Danio rerio: one gene and its partners. The main gene of each other region encodes a partner of the protein of the gene in region 3 in a complex. Links are inferred from orthologs where the notes say so. Each region holds a gene or a part of one and is shown on either strand. Other genes may lie near its edges.

The links.
Region 1: the proteins of eif4ea (region 3) and eif4g1a are in contact, whole or in part, in a crystal structure (PDB 5T46), measured with the Homo sapiens proteins. The link is inferred for Danio rerio from reciprocal best matches to the Homo sapiens genes EIF4E and EIF4G1. Residues at the interface, in NP_001959.1 of Homo sapiens: Pro31, Tyr34, Lys36, His37, Pro38, Leu39, Gln40, Phe47, Lys49, Arg61, Leu62, Ile63, Ser64, Val69, Glu70, Trp73, Ala74, Leu75, Tyr76, Asn77, His78, Ile79, Gln80, Leu85, Tyr91, Glu132, Leu135, Ile138, Gly139, Glu140; in NP_937884.2 of Homo sapiens: Glu608, Lys609, Lys610, Arg611, Tyr612, Arg614, Phe616, Leu617, Leu618, Phe620, Gln621, Phe622, Ile623, Phe624, Ala625, Ser626, Met627, Gln628, Lys629, Pro630, Leu633, Pro634, Ile636, Asp638, Val639, Val640, Leu641.
Region 2: the proteins of eif4ea (region 3) and eif4ebp2 are in contact, whole or in part, in a crystal structure (PDB 3AM7), measured with the Homo sapiens proteins. The link is inferred for Danio rerio from reciprocal best matches to the Homo sapiens genes EIF4E and EIF4EBP2. Residues at the interface, in NP_001959.1 of Homo sapiens: His37, Pro38, Leu39, Gln40, Val69, Trp73, Tyr76, Asn77, Leu131, Glu132, Leu135, Ile138, Gly139, Glu140, Ser141, Asp143, Asp144, Ser146, Asp147, Arg186; in NP_004087.1 of Homo sapiens: Pro47, Thr50, Arg51, Ile52, Ile53, Tyr54, Arg56, Phe58, Leu59, Leu60, Arg62, Arg63, Asn64.

Annotation. Positions count from the first base shown.
Region 1 is NC_133177.1:19,193,052-19,196,703, reverse strand, and holds part of eif4g1a (eukaryotic translation initiation factor 4 gamma 1a), read right to left. Parts: intron 2,293-3,652; coding exon 2,159-2,292; intron 2,072-2,158; coding exon 1,952-2,071; intron 1,855-1,951; coding exon 1,465-1,854; intron 1,426-1,464; exon of another isoform or gene 1,365-1,425; intron 10-1,364; coding exon 1-9.
Region 2 is NC_133188.1:33,555,379-33,559,770, reverse strand, and holds the start of eif4ebp2 (eukaryotic translation initiation factor 4E-binding protein 2), read right to left. Parts: upstream 2,943-4,392; 5' UTR 2,790-2,942; coding exon 2,657-2,789; intron 279-2,656; coding exon 102-278; intron 1-101.
Region 3 is NC_133189.1:48,179,036-48,183,363, forward strand, and holds the start of eif4ea (eukaryotic translation initiation factor 4E-1A), read right to left. Parts: upstream 2,848-4,328; coding exon 2,830-2,847; intron 1-2,829. UniProt on the Homo sapiens protein: Acts in the cytoplasm to initiate and regulate protein synthesis and is required in the nucleus for export of a subset of mRNAs from the nucleus to the cytoplasm which promotes processes such as RNA capping, processing and splicing.

The DNA of each region.
Region 1 (3,652 bases), on a different chromosome or scaffold from region 3:
GACTTTAAGCTGAAACAAAACATTTATTCAACTATTATTAACAAGAAGCAAGGTCACATTTTAAAACAGTAATCGTTTTTAAGTGATGTAACGGATAACAAATCTCACGATTCGGATCAGTGAATGGTTTTTAGTCGCAGATTGAACCATTTTTCGGATCAGCCAAAAAAAGACAAATGTATAATCTGCTTTCTATTTTTTTTTTTACAAAAAACAGCCCTGCAAGACACTTTTGGTTTTAACAAACAGAATTTAGAGCCTGTCATTTAAAAAAATAAAAATTAAGAAATAATCAGCTGTATAATATATATTGTAAAATATTGAAAAATTCACTGTTACTACTACTGTTGCAGCTAATGCTAAATGTAGAAATCTAACATTATAATTTGAACAACATTTAATTATTTTTAATCTCATTTTCAATAAATGATTTACTTTTTCACTTATAAAACTTCAGGTATCATGGCTGATGTATAATTTGTGAAAAATTATTCAGTGGTATATTTTTCATGTTTGGTTGGTCGCCACCTCTTGTTTAAATAATGCAATTGCTGCCTACAACTTCATAAACTCAAAAGACTAAAAGATAAATCTCTTAATTTTTGCGGTTTCAGATTTGGATGCAGTGATTTGAAGGATTGATAAACATCTGCAATACATCATCATTTATAATTTGTTGCGTGGTAGTTGACTTCACAATCTTTTAATAATTAATCGTGCAGCTTACATTGAATGCATTAATGCAGGCTAAACAAATAGTGACAGAAAACACCTTTTATGAAACCCACCACATGTCGAATAACCTACCACAACTTCTTCCATCATCATTATATTTTACAAGAAAGCCGAAATGCTTTCATACATGTGATTTGAATGATGCGAGAAATGACCTCTCTGTGATCGTTACAAATTTAGAATCAATCTACAAGTAAAAAAATTTATTTAATCTGCAGGTCAAGTGTGTTCCGAACCGCAAGTTGTGATCTGTACGGATCAACCGTGTTCCGTTACACCCCTGGTATTTAACAGGCTAAAACTGCAAACAGAAGCTAAAAGGTGAACCAGTGAGGTTTACTCTCATTTCTGAAGTACGACTACACTTCAATTGATTAACTTTGAGCTGTGTAGGTGCATCGATTCTTACAGAAATAAGATGTTTTATTTATTCAATAAACAAAGTTTCCTGAAAAAAATGCTTGATCTATTTACGTTTCTTTTAAAAACTTCTTGAAGTGTACGGTTTGGTGATTTGGAGAAACCGAAACACTCCCAGTAATTATTAATAGAATTGCAATTTGTGTGATTTTAAAATGAACAACAACAATATGGCTTCATGTTTTTTTTGAGTGCCAACCAAAAGAAAGCTCTTCAGATCCTCATTACCATTACAATACATCAGTGGCACAAAACAGGTCATCAATGAAGCAACAGACACGAGCAACCCTGCAGAAAAAAGTTACTTACCCCCATAAGGCACCGGCACATGTTGGCATAAGCTACAGAGAAGTTGGGTTCAGAGATGGCTTTCTCGAAGATGAGGTCAATGACACCCTTGAGCCTCTCTTCAGTGTCTATGGCGAGCTCGGTCACCTGCTTCATCAGCTGCTGGAACATCTGTGGTGTGAGCTTGTTCAGGACACTGCGCACACGGCGGAACAGCTCCTGTGTTTTAGCGGCTTCCGCATCATCCTCCTCCTCTTCTCCACGACTTCGTACTTGCTTCTTGACCGAGGGTGTCCAAGCGTTCTCAGCCTGGTTGAGCTCAATGTTGTCTTTGAGAGAAACGCTGGTGATGATCTTGGGGTTGCGACTGATCTGGTCTTTGCCTCGACCCGGCTGAGGGCGCCGTGCAGACTGAAAGGAGTTCAACATTTAAAAATAAATGACTGACCTCAACACAGAGTAAATATTTTAACTATTAAAATCCTATGACTAAAGAAACTGAACTGACCGGTCCTCGCCCTCCTCCTCCGGATGACTGCCGACCCAAGTTAGCATATGAAGGTGTGAAATCAGGCCCACAGTTCATCAGACTCCTGGGGTCCAAGGGCCGCAAGGGGGTTTTATTTGCCTGTTATACAAACAACAAGTGAGTGAATGTAACTTTAAAAACTAAACGGCACAGGATAAATTTGAGGGGTCCAGATGCAAGGTTCACCTTGTCCAAGACAACATCACTGATGTGTGGCAAACCCTCTGGCTTGTGCATGCTTGCACTAATGAACTGAAAGCCAAGCAGGAACTCTCGATCATATCGTTTCTTCTCCTCTGGGTTGATTGGTTTCCATTGTTCTGTTAGGGAAAAAAGTTGCAGGATAGACCAAAATGAGACATTTAGACAATGCGACTGCCTTGCACAAGACAAGCTACACACCATCGTCAACAAAACACCATCTTCAGCTAAAAAGAAAAAACCTTCTGCACATTTCGGCTATTCACTTATGCCTAGTTCAGACTGTGTGATTTTAGCCGCGATTTCGGCTCGCCCCAGGTTTTGAGAAATCGCCGACAAATGCCTGAAATCACAGGCAAATCGGTGCTCGTGCATGTGAGTGCCAATCACACAGTATGAACCATCAAAGATGCGATCTGAGAGAATCGCCGATGAGTCAAATCATGCCGTACGTATTTGCACAACGTATTTGAGGACCGGCAGGGAGACACAATTTCCGGGAGATTATCATTCGTTTGCAGGCATTCGGTAGTCTCTGTGCATTTGCGGAAAACTCCCAGAACTTCCGGGAGACTTGGGATGTCTGGAATGACCTTCCACCCTACTCTTAATTCTCTCTTCGTATTGCCATATGCCTATTACATATCCATAAAACACTATGAAATTGCCGTGCTTGGATCATATCGCTTTCTTACTACAATCGATCCGCTCCAGAGTTCGTTTCAATCAAGCCGAGACCACCTCATTCAGGTGATCTCGGAGCGATTGTTTTGGCGCGGATCCGAGCGCAATTGCTGGATTTACATATGCCAAACGAACCATGCTAACTAGGCAATGGAGACAGGTTCCGAAATAAAAGTCTAGATGTGAAACCACCCTTAAACTACAACTTTGAGGGGGGGAAATGGTGGCAAAGTGTTTGCTTTGAACAATAACATTTTACTTAAAATGTGATTTTTTTTTTGTGAATACTGTGATGTTTCACATATGCATTTAACAGGTTAAGTATTGGCGCACAACATGACATGCAAAACAATGAATGTGCGTAGACGTAGTGTATCTCTTTACAAAACATATCACTGGCAAGCACACAATGCATAATTTGTAAATTATTAAATTAGTTTTAACGGGAATCTTTTTGACAGCAGTTGATTGTAAATGTAATTAATCAAAAACGAAATGAGTAAGCATGTAAATGTATTTTAAAGTCAAGTCTTGATACATAAAATATCAAGTTCTAAGTTAAGGTAGGTTAATGGTCATTTTTCACCCCTATTCTCACCAAATTATACCAAACTTTGTAATTAAAATTTGCTTGATTCAAATAATAAAGGTTTTGTCAGCTCCTAATTTACATGTTATTATCAATTCTAAAGGATCATATGATTGTGGAGAATAGAAAAAGGAAGCTGAAATTTTTCCTTTAGTTTAAAACATTGAAAGAAATTAATAAATAATATAAAACTTGACCAGTTTTAC
Region 2 (4,392 bases), on a different chromosome or scaffold from region 3:
ACATTACTCTGATTCATGTCTGTTTGTGTACACAAGATGAAGCACAAAGCAGGGAGGTTCCAGTGGAAACGGTTCCAGTTCGGTCAGTTTGAAAGACTAACCTTGCCCTGGCTTGGCATCATGGTTGTTGATGTTGTTCGCTTCATTCCGCTTGATTTCATTCAGGATGTTCTTGCCCGTCACTCCTGGGATAACCGGCAGGTGCGCTGGTGGGGTCTGGGCGATGGGGGAGTTACGCCGGTCCAACAGGAACTTACGATCATAGATTATTCGGGTTCCTGCATTGTCATAAATAAATATATTATGTTATGATTCTGTTTTAATATACAGCTTCCAAAGTAGCACTTTTTTCCCTATGGAAGACTATAAATTAACCTCAACCTAAAGCAATCTGACACATTTTGCTTTGCAGTAATAATATGTAAGCAAATTATATGGGGTTGAGAATATGGGTGAGAAAATTATGATGATTTTAATGGGATTATTAATGGTTTTAATGAAGCTCATGTCCCAATTAGGGTGAGCTACACATTAAAAAAAAAATTATATTTTTGCTACTTCTGCATCTTTTAAATCAATTTTATAAAAAAACATTGCATGAAAGATTTTAGCTAATAATAATAATATTAATAATAATACTGTCATCCTATACACATTACTTGTACCAAGCCTGTATGAGTTTTGCTTACTGTTTAACACAGGAAATGCTGGTAACTAAAATGTTAATGTTAACCGTTGACTTTACGTGATTATACATGTCATTGGTTAGCATGGTTTCTGGTTATTCTTTGAAATATTTTCCTTGTTTTTTTATACAGTACTTCTTCATTTTTTTTTGTGAACTATCCTTTTAAAGTTTGAATAATAGGATTCTGAAATAACTTTAATGTGCCCTCTTGGTCACTTCATAATTCTTTTTTAAGTTACAAATATTCACAATATGTTAAATCAAGATTTAGTTACTTGAGAAGCATTATTACATGTTATGAGAGGGAAAGTGAGGAATTGAGAGGAACAACACTACGCAAGTCAATGTGTGCCAGCTACCAGCATTTTTCAAAGTATCTTTTTTTTGTGTTTATTAGAAAAAAAACTCAAATGGCGAAAGATGAGTAAATGATGAAAGAATTTTTAATTTTGGGCTGTCCCTTTAAGCATGTTTATACTGCAAAACAAAAATACTTGCTTGCAAGTAGGCATTGGCTAGTATAAGATTCTAATGGTATGATAACCTTGGATAAAAACATCACGGTTTTACAGTAATGTGATTTCTGCTCCAAAATATATTCTTATTAAACGTCTGGGTTAAAAAAAATAATAATAAAAAAATGTATTCTGTTTTAAAAGCAATGGCTGCATCTGAAATTGCATGCTTACATACTATATAGTACGCTAAAAACAGTATGCAAGCCGATTCATAGAATTTGATAAACAGTATGCGAGTAGTACCTGGATGACCTACTACTTTCGCCGAGATTCTAAAGTGCACATTCAATGGACACGACGCTATCCCATGATACACTGCGAGAATATTCATGAAAGTGAAGCAGGTCTGTCATGTGATGATGACAAAATGAACCCCGTACTACATCCAAGCTCATTCATACTACTCACATTCATACTGCATAGAACATACTATTCTATTGATTGAGTAGTAAACTTTTATTTAAATGCAGTACCTAATGAGTAGTCTGTGATTTTGCACGCAGCCAATATATTTTATTATGCAAAACATTTGAAATATTTTGGAACATGTCAGGTTAAATAATTCAAATGAATCATTGACTCCTGCTGTGTTTATTAGTGTCAAAAACACAGATTTCTTTACAATTTAAAACCATATCTTTCAATCTCTTATCTGCTGGAGAAACTGTTGTCCTAAAAACAACAACAGCAACAAAAACTTTGAAAAAATTATTGCATATACTGTAGGGAAGGTGTAACAAAAAAATGTTTTGGCGGTTTTAAAACCTTGACTTTTCCAAACTGTGATATACCTTGAAAACCATTATTGTCCCATGCCTACTTGCAAGAGTTCATGCCTAAATTTGAATCCATTTCAAATCCTTAAATGGTGAACCAAGACTTTTTAGATCCTGCAGAAATCCTACATACATACACAGAACATCCTACATGCATACATATGCATGCATACACAAATAGGCACAAATATATGCAAACATATTGTTGATCTATATATCAATTAAGATGACAATTGATATAGTATATTTCATTATTACTATACATATCCTTATGTGCGTTTAATGTCCTACATTCCTTTGTTCTGTCCTGTTCTGTCAATCAGTCACTGCGGACCAATCATGTTGATCATATCGACGCACAGGCGGCGCTGTTTTTGTTTTGAACTACATGGCTGTGTCTCAAAAACCTAGTACGCTGCCTACCTAGTATACATATTTAAACCATGTCCGTTTTAAAAGTCTTAGCGTTTTTGACCATCATTACACTGTTTACATGCAAACTAAACGAAGGTTACAGCGAGAACCCTATAATGCTATCTAGGCAGGTGGAACACTAGGTTTTAAGACACAGCCGTTTTATGTGGTTACGGCTTCCTGGCCAACACAGGCCAACCATTATTACACGATCTCCCTGCAAACAGCTGCATATTTAAGGGCTCGTCTCGCTTTATTACCTCCCGGGGTGGTGGAGAATAAAGTGCCTCCAGGAGTGGTGCAATAGTCGTGAGGTAGCTGCGTTGAGTCGTTGATCAGCACCGTCCTGGTCGGGATGGCCCTGCTCTCACTAAGCTGACGACTGGACGACATTGCACTTGCTTCGGGTGCTAATCAGAGTCGAGCGATAAGTTTTCCCCGATGGAAGGTAAAAACCTCGGGCCCTTTCCCCTCGTTTCTTATCGCTTTCCCAGGGCTTTCTTCACGTTCAGCTCGTCCTCCCAGCCGTCAGCACCGACCCCTCCCTCCGCCAGGCAGGAAGCGAAGAGCGCTCGGAGGATATGACGTCAGGGAAGAATTACGTCGATTCAACGCCCACAATTTGTTTTACTCAACATTTTTGATACCAGTCAATGAGTTTTTACTGCAAAATAACTTATAAGGATAAAATTAAATATTGTTGACTCAAATGTATGCTAGTTTTGTAACCTAGACATTAAAAAAATTATACACTTGTTTTTCCGATGTAAATTGGTACAAACATTTTGGGACAAAAATTAGTTTGGGTTTGGATACATCAGAAAACATCTGCAAGACTTATCTTCTCATAGGAAATTATTAAGTTTAACGTAATGCTTAAAGATAAAAAGATAGATAATGAATTTGTTGATATTATTGCAATTTTATATTCATAAATTTTTATATATTTTTTTAATTTCCCCAAGACTATGGGTGTTTAAAGGAGAATCTGATATATATATTTAAAGACATTAAAAGAGATGAAAAGCCAACAAGAAAGATATTTATGTTCATCATTTGAGGATTTTGGTTGCATATTGTGAGAACTTCAACTCCCCTGTTTTGTATTTTTCTGTATCATTTATTTTATTTGTTATTTATTTGTTTATTTATATATATATATATATATATATATATATATATATATATATATATATATATATATATATATATATATATATATATATATATATATATTTTTTTTTTTTTTTTTTTTTTTATTATTTTATTTATTTATTTATTTTTTTCCAGAGATGGGTTGCAGCTGGAAGGGCATCTGCTGCGTAACACATATGCTGGATAAATCGGCGGTTCATTCCGTTGTGGCGACCCCAGATTTATAGGGTAAATCTGAAAAGAAAATGAATGAATACATGAATGCTGTATTATTGTTATTATTATTATTAGTAGTAGTAGTAGTAGTAGTAGTAGTATTCATGTTATTGAGGATGGGAGGATTGTGAATGCAAATTGTTTGTTATCTCAGTAAAAATTATTCAGATTTTTCAAAATTCAATAATCACATTTGTGATCATATCACATAAATAATGTTAAATAAATACGTTGATTTAGTCTGGACTTCGTATAGATTACTGAACTCAGTTTAACCTCGTAACCTTGTTTATTTCACAATATTGAAAAAACACATTGTGTGATATAAGAGGACTTTTGCTTGCTTTTTTTCTGCAAGATTTAGTTTTTTTAACATAATTAAAATTATTTTATATTAATTTCTGTTCTTATTTTACTTGATAGGGATTGTTTTTTATAAACTTAACTGTCAGTTTAAGAATTTTTTACATTTTTCAAAATTCAATAATAACATCTGTGATCACATCATATCAAATAAATAACAAATTAATACCATTAAAAATAAATACATTCATTCAGTCTGGACTTTGTATAGATTTCAAAACTCAGTTTAACCTTGTAGCCTGTATTCAAAATATTGTAAAGC
Region 3 (4,328 bases):
ACAGTTCTGCAGTTTAAAAAAAAAAAGTTTGAACATTAACACTGCTGTGCTTATGTGTAAAAAAACAAATAAATAAAATTTCAATGTTTAAATTAAAATGTAATTTTAAAAGTTAATTAAAAATGGTAGGCTACTGTTCTTAAAAAGTAAAGAAAAAACACCTGTACTTAAATGTAAAGTGTTCACCTGTAGTATAAAAGCCTGGAAATGCTGCTTGGACCTCATAAATATAGGCTATATGTCATCATATTCATATACGAGTCATTTTTTATAAATATTTAAATATCTGTTGCATGTAGATATGGCATATCGGATTACTCTGCGTACCACTAGAAGGCAGCCCGCGTACCACAGTTTGAGAACCACTGGTCTATGCAGTTTTTTGTTTTAAAATGAGAAAACGCTATTAAGAGAGCAATCAGATTTTTTTTTTTTTTTTTTTTGTATTGTTAATGACTTTCTAAACGGGTGACAAAAGCCCCCACGAGTGAGCAATGGCCCTAACAAAAAAAAAAAAAAAAATGAACAAAAAATACAAATAATGAAAATAATAAGAAAATTACTCTGGCTTTCCACTTTCAAAAGCATTCTCTTTCAGATGAAACATGTTATAATGGTATATGCATAAATATTAGAATTTATTAACAAAATCTAGTCCTAAATGAGTCGAAGAAATAAAAAAAGGACTTAAATTTTTTCAAAAGCTTTTTGGCACTAATGTAAATAACATTAAACATAAATAACTAGCATTTTCATATTGAAGCACTAGCAAAGTTTTGTCCTAGTACTAAAAACTAAGCCAGGTCAAACTCCCTGGAATGTATTATCAGGCTTAAAGTGAGCACTATTACTTACTAATACTTTTCCATTAGCTCTGCCTAATACACACTACATTACCAGACAAGGCATTGGCCGGTATATGATTCTGACGGTGTAATAACCTTGGATAAAAATATCATGGTTTCCAGGTATCACGGTATTTCGATTACTGCTTTAATTTTTTTTTCCTTTTTGAAAACAATATATTTTATTTTTTGAAAGATTTTTTACAAATCTGGAGCAGTAAACATGTCAAGATATATAATGAAAATGAATCATAGACATGAATCTTTGGATATCTTTCCAGCTTGAGAAACTGTTGTCTTCAAAAACAAACAAAAAGTAAATAAAAAATCTTACACGGTGCGGTATTACAGAAAATTTTGACAGTTTTAAAACCTTGACTTTTCCAAACCGTGGTATACCTTGAAAACGGTGATCGTCACCTGCCTAGATCACACTGTATACGCTACAAAATACTGAGGTAAAGTTGGATTTATATCCGCACATTCGTTCATTTAATACAGTCCTTGACTACTAATATAAAGTCCCCATTTAGAATTGGCAAATAATACTTTTCTGAAATTATATTAAGAAAATCCAAATATGCTAATATAAAAAACTTTTTTACCTCAATTACAAAAATATATAAAATAATCTAATTAAATAAACAGACTTATGGCACCATTTTAGTTTCAGAAACTCTGAATAACCTCAAAACAGCATTTCAACAAAATCTTGAGGGTGAATAAATAAAATGGGTATAAATACTTAAAAAAATAACAAGTAAATTTCTTTATGGGTGCTACTAGATGAATAATTTAACCTAATATGTTTTGTTCAAAAGGTTATTTAGTTAAAAAGTTCTCAAAAGCTGCTTATATACCCTAATGAAAGAAAACTGATAGAGGTTAAGTTGGTTTAAATTCACACATTTATTCATTTAGCAGTGTCTATATTGGTTACCATATTACATTGAATATTCAATCGGAATTAGCATGCACGTATGACTTCTAAACAACATTAACACTATTTAATTCACTGTGAACAATGTTGTGCTTTGATAGTTTAACTGCTGATTTCCCTATTTAGAATTTGCAAATAATACGTTTCTGAAATTATATAAAGAAAGTCCAAATATGTAAATATAAAAACAGTTTTACCTTAATTACAAAAATATATCAAATAGTCTAATTAAATAAACAGACTTATGACACCATTTTAGTTCCAGAAACTGAATAACTTCAAAACAACATTTCAACAAAATCCTGATGGTGAATAAAAAAATTGGTATAAATACTTAAAACAATAACAAGTAAATTTCTTTATGGGTGCTAGATGAATCATTTAACCTTATAAGTTCTGTTCAAAAAGTTATTTAGTTAAAAAAGTTCTCAAAAGCTGCTTATATACCCTAATGAAAGAAAACTGCCCATATTTGAAACAGAGTTTCTCCAGAGGAAGAATGAACATTAAGTTTCAACCTTCTCATTGTTATTACACTAAAACATGAATCTTTCTAAACACATAATATTAACTCACAAACTAAAGGTTATATTACAAAAATCTTTAAAAGTATACAAAGTTAACCTTTAACAATATCGCAATATGTAACGTTACTTATATTAAGTTTCATTTACTGTCCATACAGAGGCTAAAAACAAACCACATACTTTTCATTGACACATCAGCAAACTACGAGTCTAAATAACAGAGATGCTTCAACACCACGTTCAACTCTCTGAAAAAACAAGCAGCCCACAGCCCTCCATTTCAGAGAAAACATCAACTATTTCACACTTTTGAACAGTCTCCTTCAAACGCATGTGTGCGACAGTCGGGCATCAGCTCATTTGACTGTATGATGGAATATAAATCTGTCTCTACTTGAATATTTATTCAAATTAGCTTATACACAAGCCCTGGTCGACATAAAACTCGTATTACAGATTAAACCCCGCCGTTAAAGTATGTGCAGTAGTGTTTGTGAGAGCAGTTACACTAACTCACCGGTTCAGCAGTCGCCATCTTCTACAAATGTGAAGGGTCTTTCCGTGTGTGAAAACAACATTTGATTGGCTAAACTCAGGCGAACTCGTGTGCGAGCAGCGCGCGCCCGGACAGCGACACCCAGAGGACGGCAGTCTGTTTATGACTGCCAAAAATGTCTATGGGAATTTAATAATAATGATAATAATAATAATAATTAAAAAACTTTATTTAAAAAAATATTATTTCGAGGTGCTTCACAGATATTTAATCAATGATACCAAAACTCTTTTACAAACTACTCTTTTTTTTATTATTATTCTTTTTAAAACTACTTTTATTAAATTATCATCTTGCTTCGGACACAAAAATACATTTGTAACGAATTGTAGAACATTGAATTGACCTGAAGCATTGCCCAAAAATTTAGAAGAATGTTATAAATGGAAAAAAATCATTTAAACACGTAATATGAGCTTTATTTAGATTTTGTAATTACAAAAACTTTTATTATTTGTCTCATTCATTCATTAATTTCCTTTTCGACTTAGTCACTAGATTAATCTGGGGTCGCCACAGCGGAATAAACTGCCAACTTATCCAGTATGTTTTATGCAGCGGATGTCCTTTCAGCTGCAACCCATCTCTGGGAAACTTCCAAATCACACTCATACACGATGGACAATTTAGCCTACACAATTCACCTGTACTGCATGTCTTTGGACTGTGGGTGAAACCGGAGCACCCGAAGGGAACCCACGCGAACGCAGGGAGAACATGCTTCTTTACACAGAAACAGAAACAGCGACATTTTTGTTGTGAGGCGACAATTTGTCTCACATTAAATGAAATAATTTACTTGGTTTAATGTTTTTAAGAGTCATATTGTCAACATTGGCATTATTTTACTGTATTATCTTTGAATGTTCAATATTAACTATAGCCTATTTTATTTGGCAAATATATACTTTTAGTCATTAATTTATTTTGTGGCAGATTCATATTACTTTTAGTTTTAAGAATCACTACAAATCATACATTTTGGTTTTCATTTGTTTAGGCAACTTGGACAATTTGATGTTAAGAATCAAAACTTTCACAAACATTGACAATCTTACTAAAATCAATTCATTACAACCAAATAATCAAACGTGGTTATAAGTATCATTGACAAACTAGTTGAACTGACTTTTCTAATAAACATTTTACATAATAAAACAGACAATAAATACGATCTTATTGTTCAAACCTTCAAAATAATTATATCAAGCCATTTACACTGCAAAGGTTTATTGTGAAAAAAATTAACTAAAATCACAAAATAAATTTGTAACAATTGTAGAACATCAAATTGACCTGAATTAATGCCAGAAAAAAAAAAAAAATGTGAAGCTTAATTTTTGAGGAAAAATAAATTTAAAAATCTCAATTTGACATTTATTTAGCTTTGTTTTCCATACCAAAATCTTTTTTTGAATCTTTTCTAAAGAAGGGGGGAGAATGGGTTAATACTTTTCTTT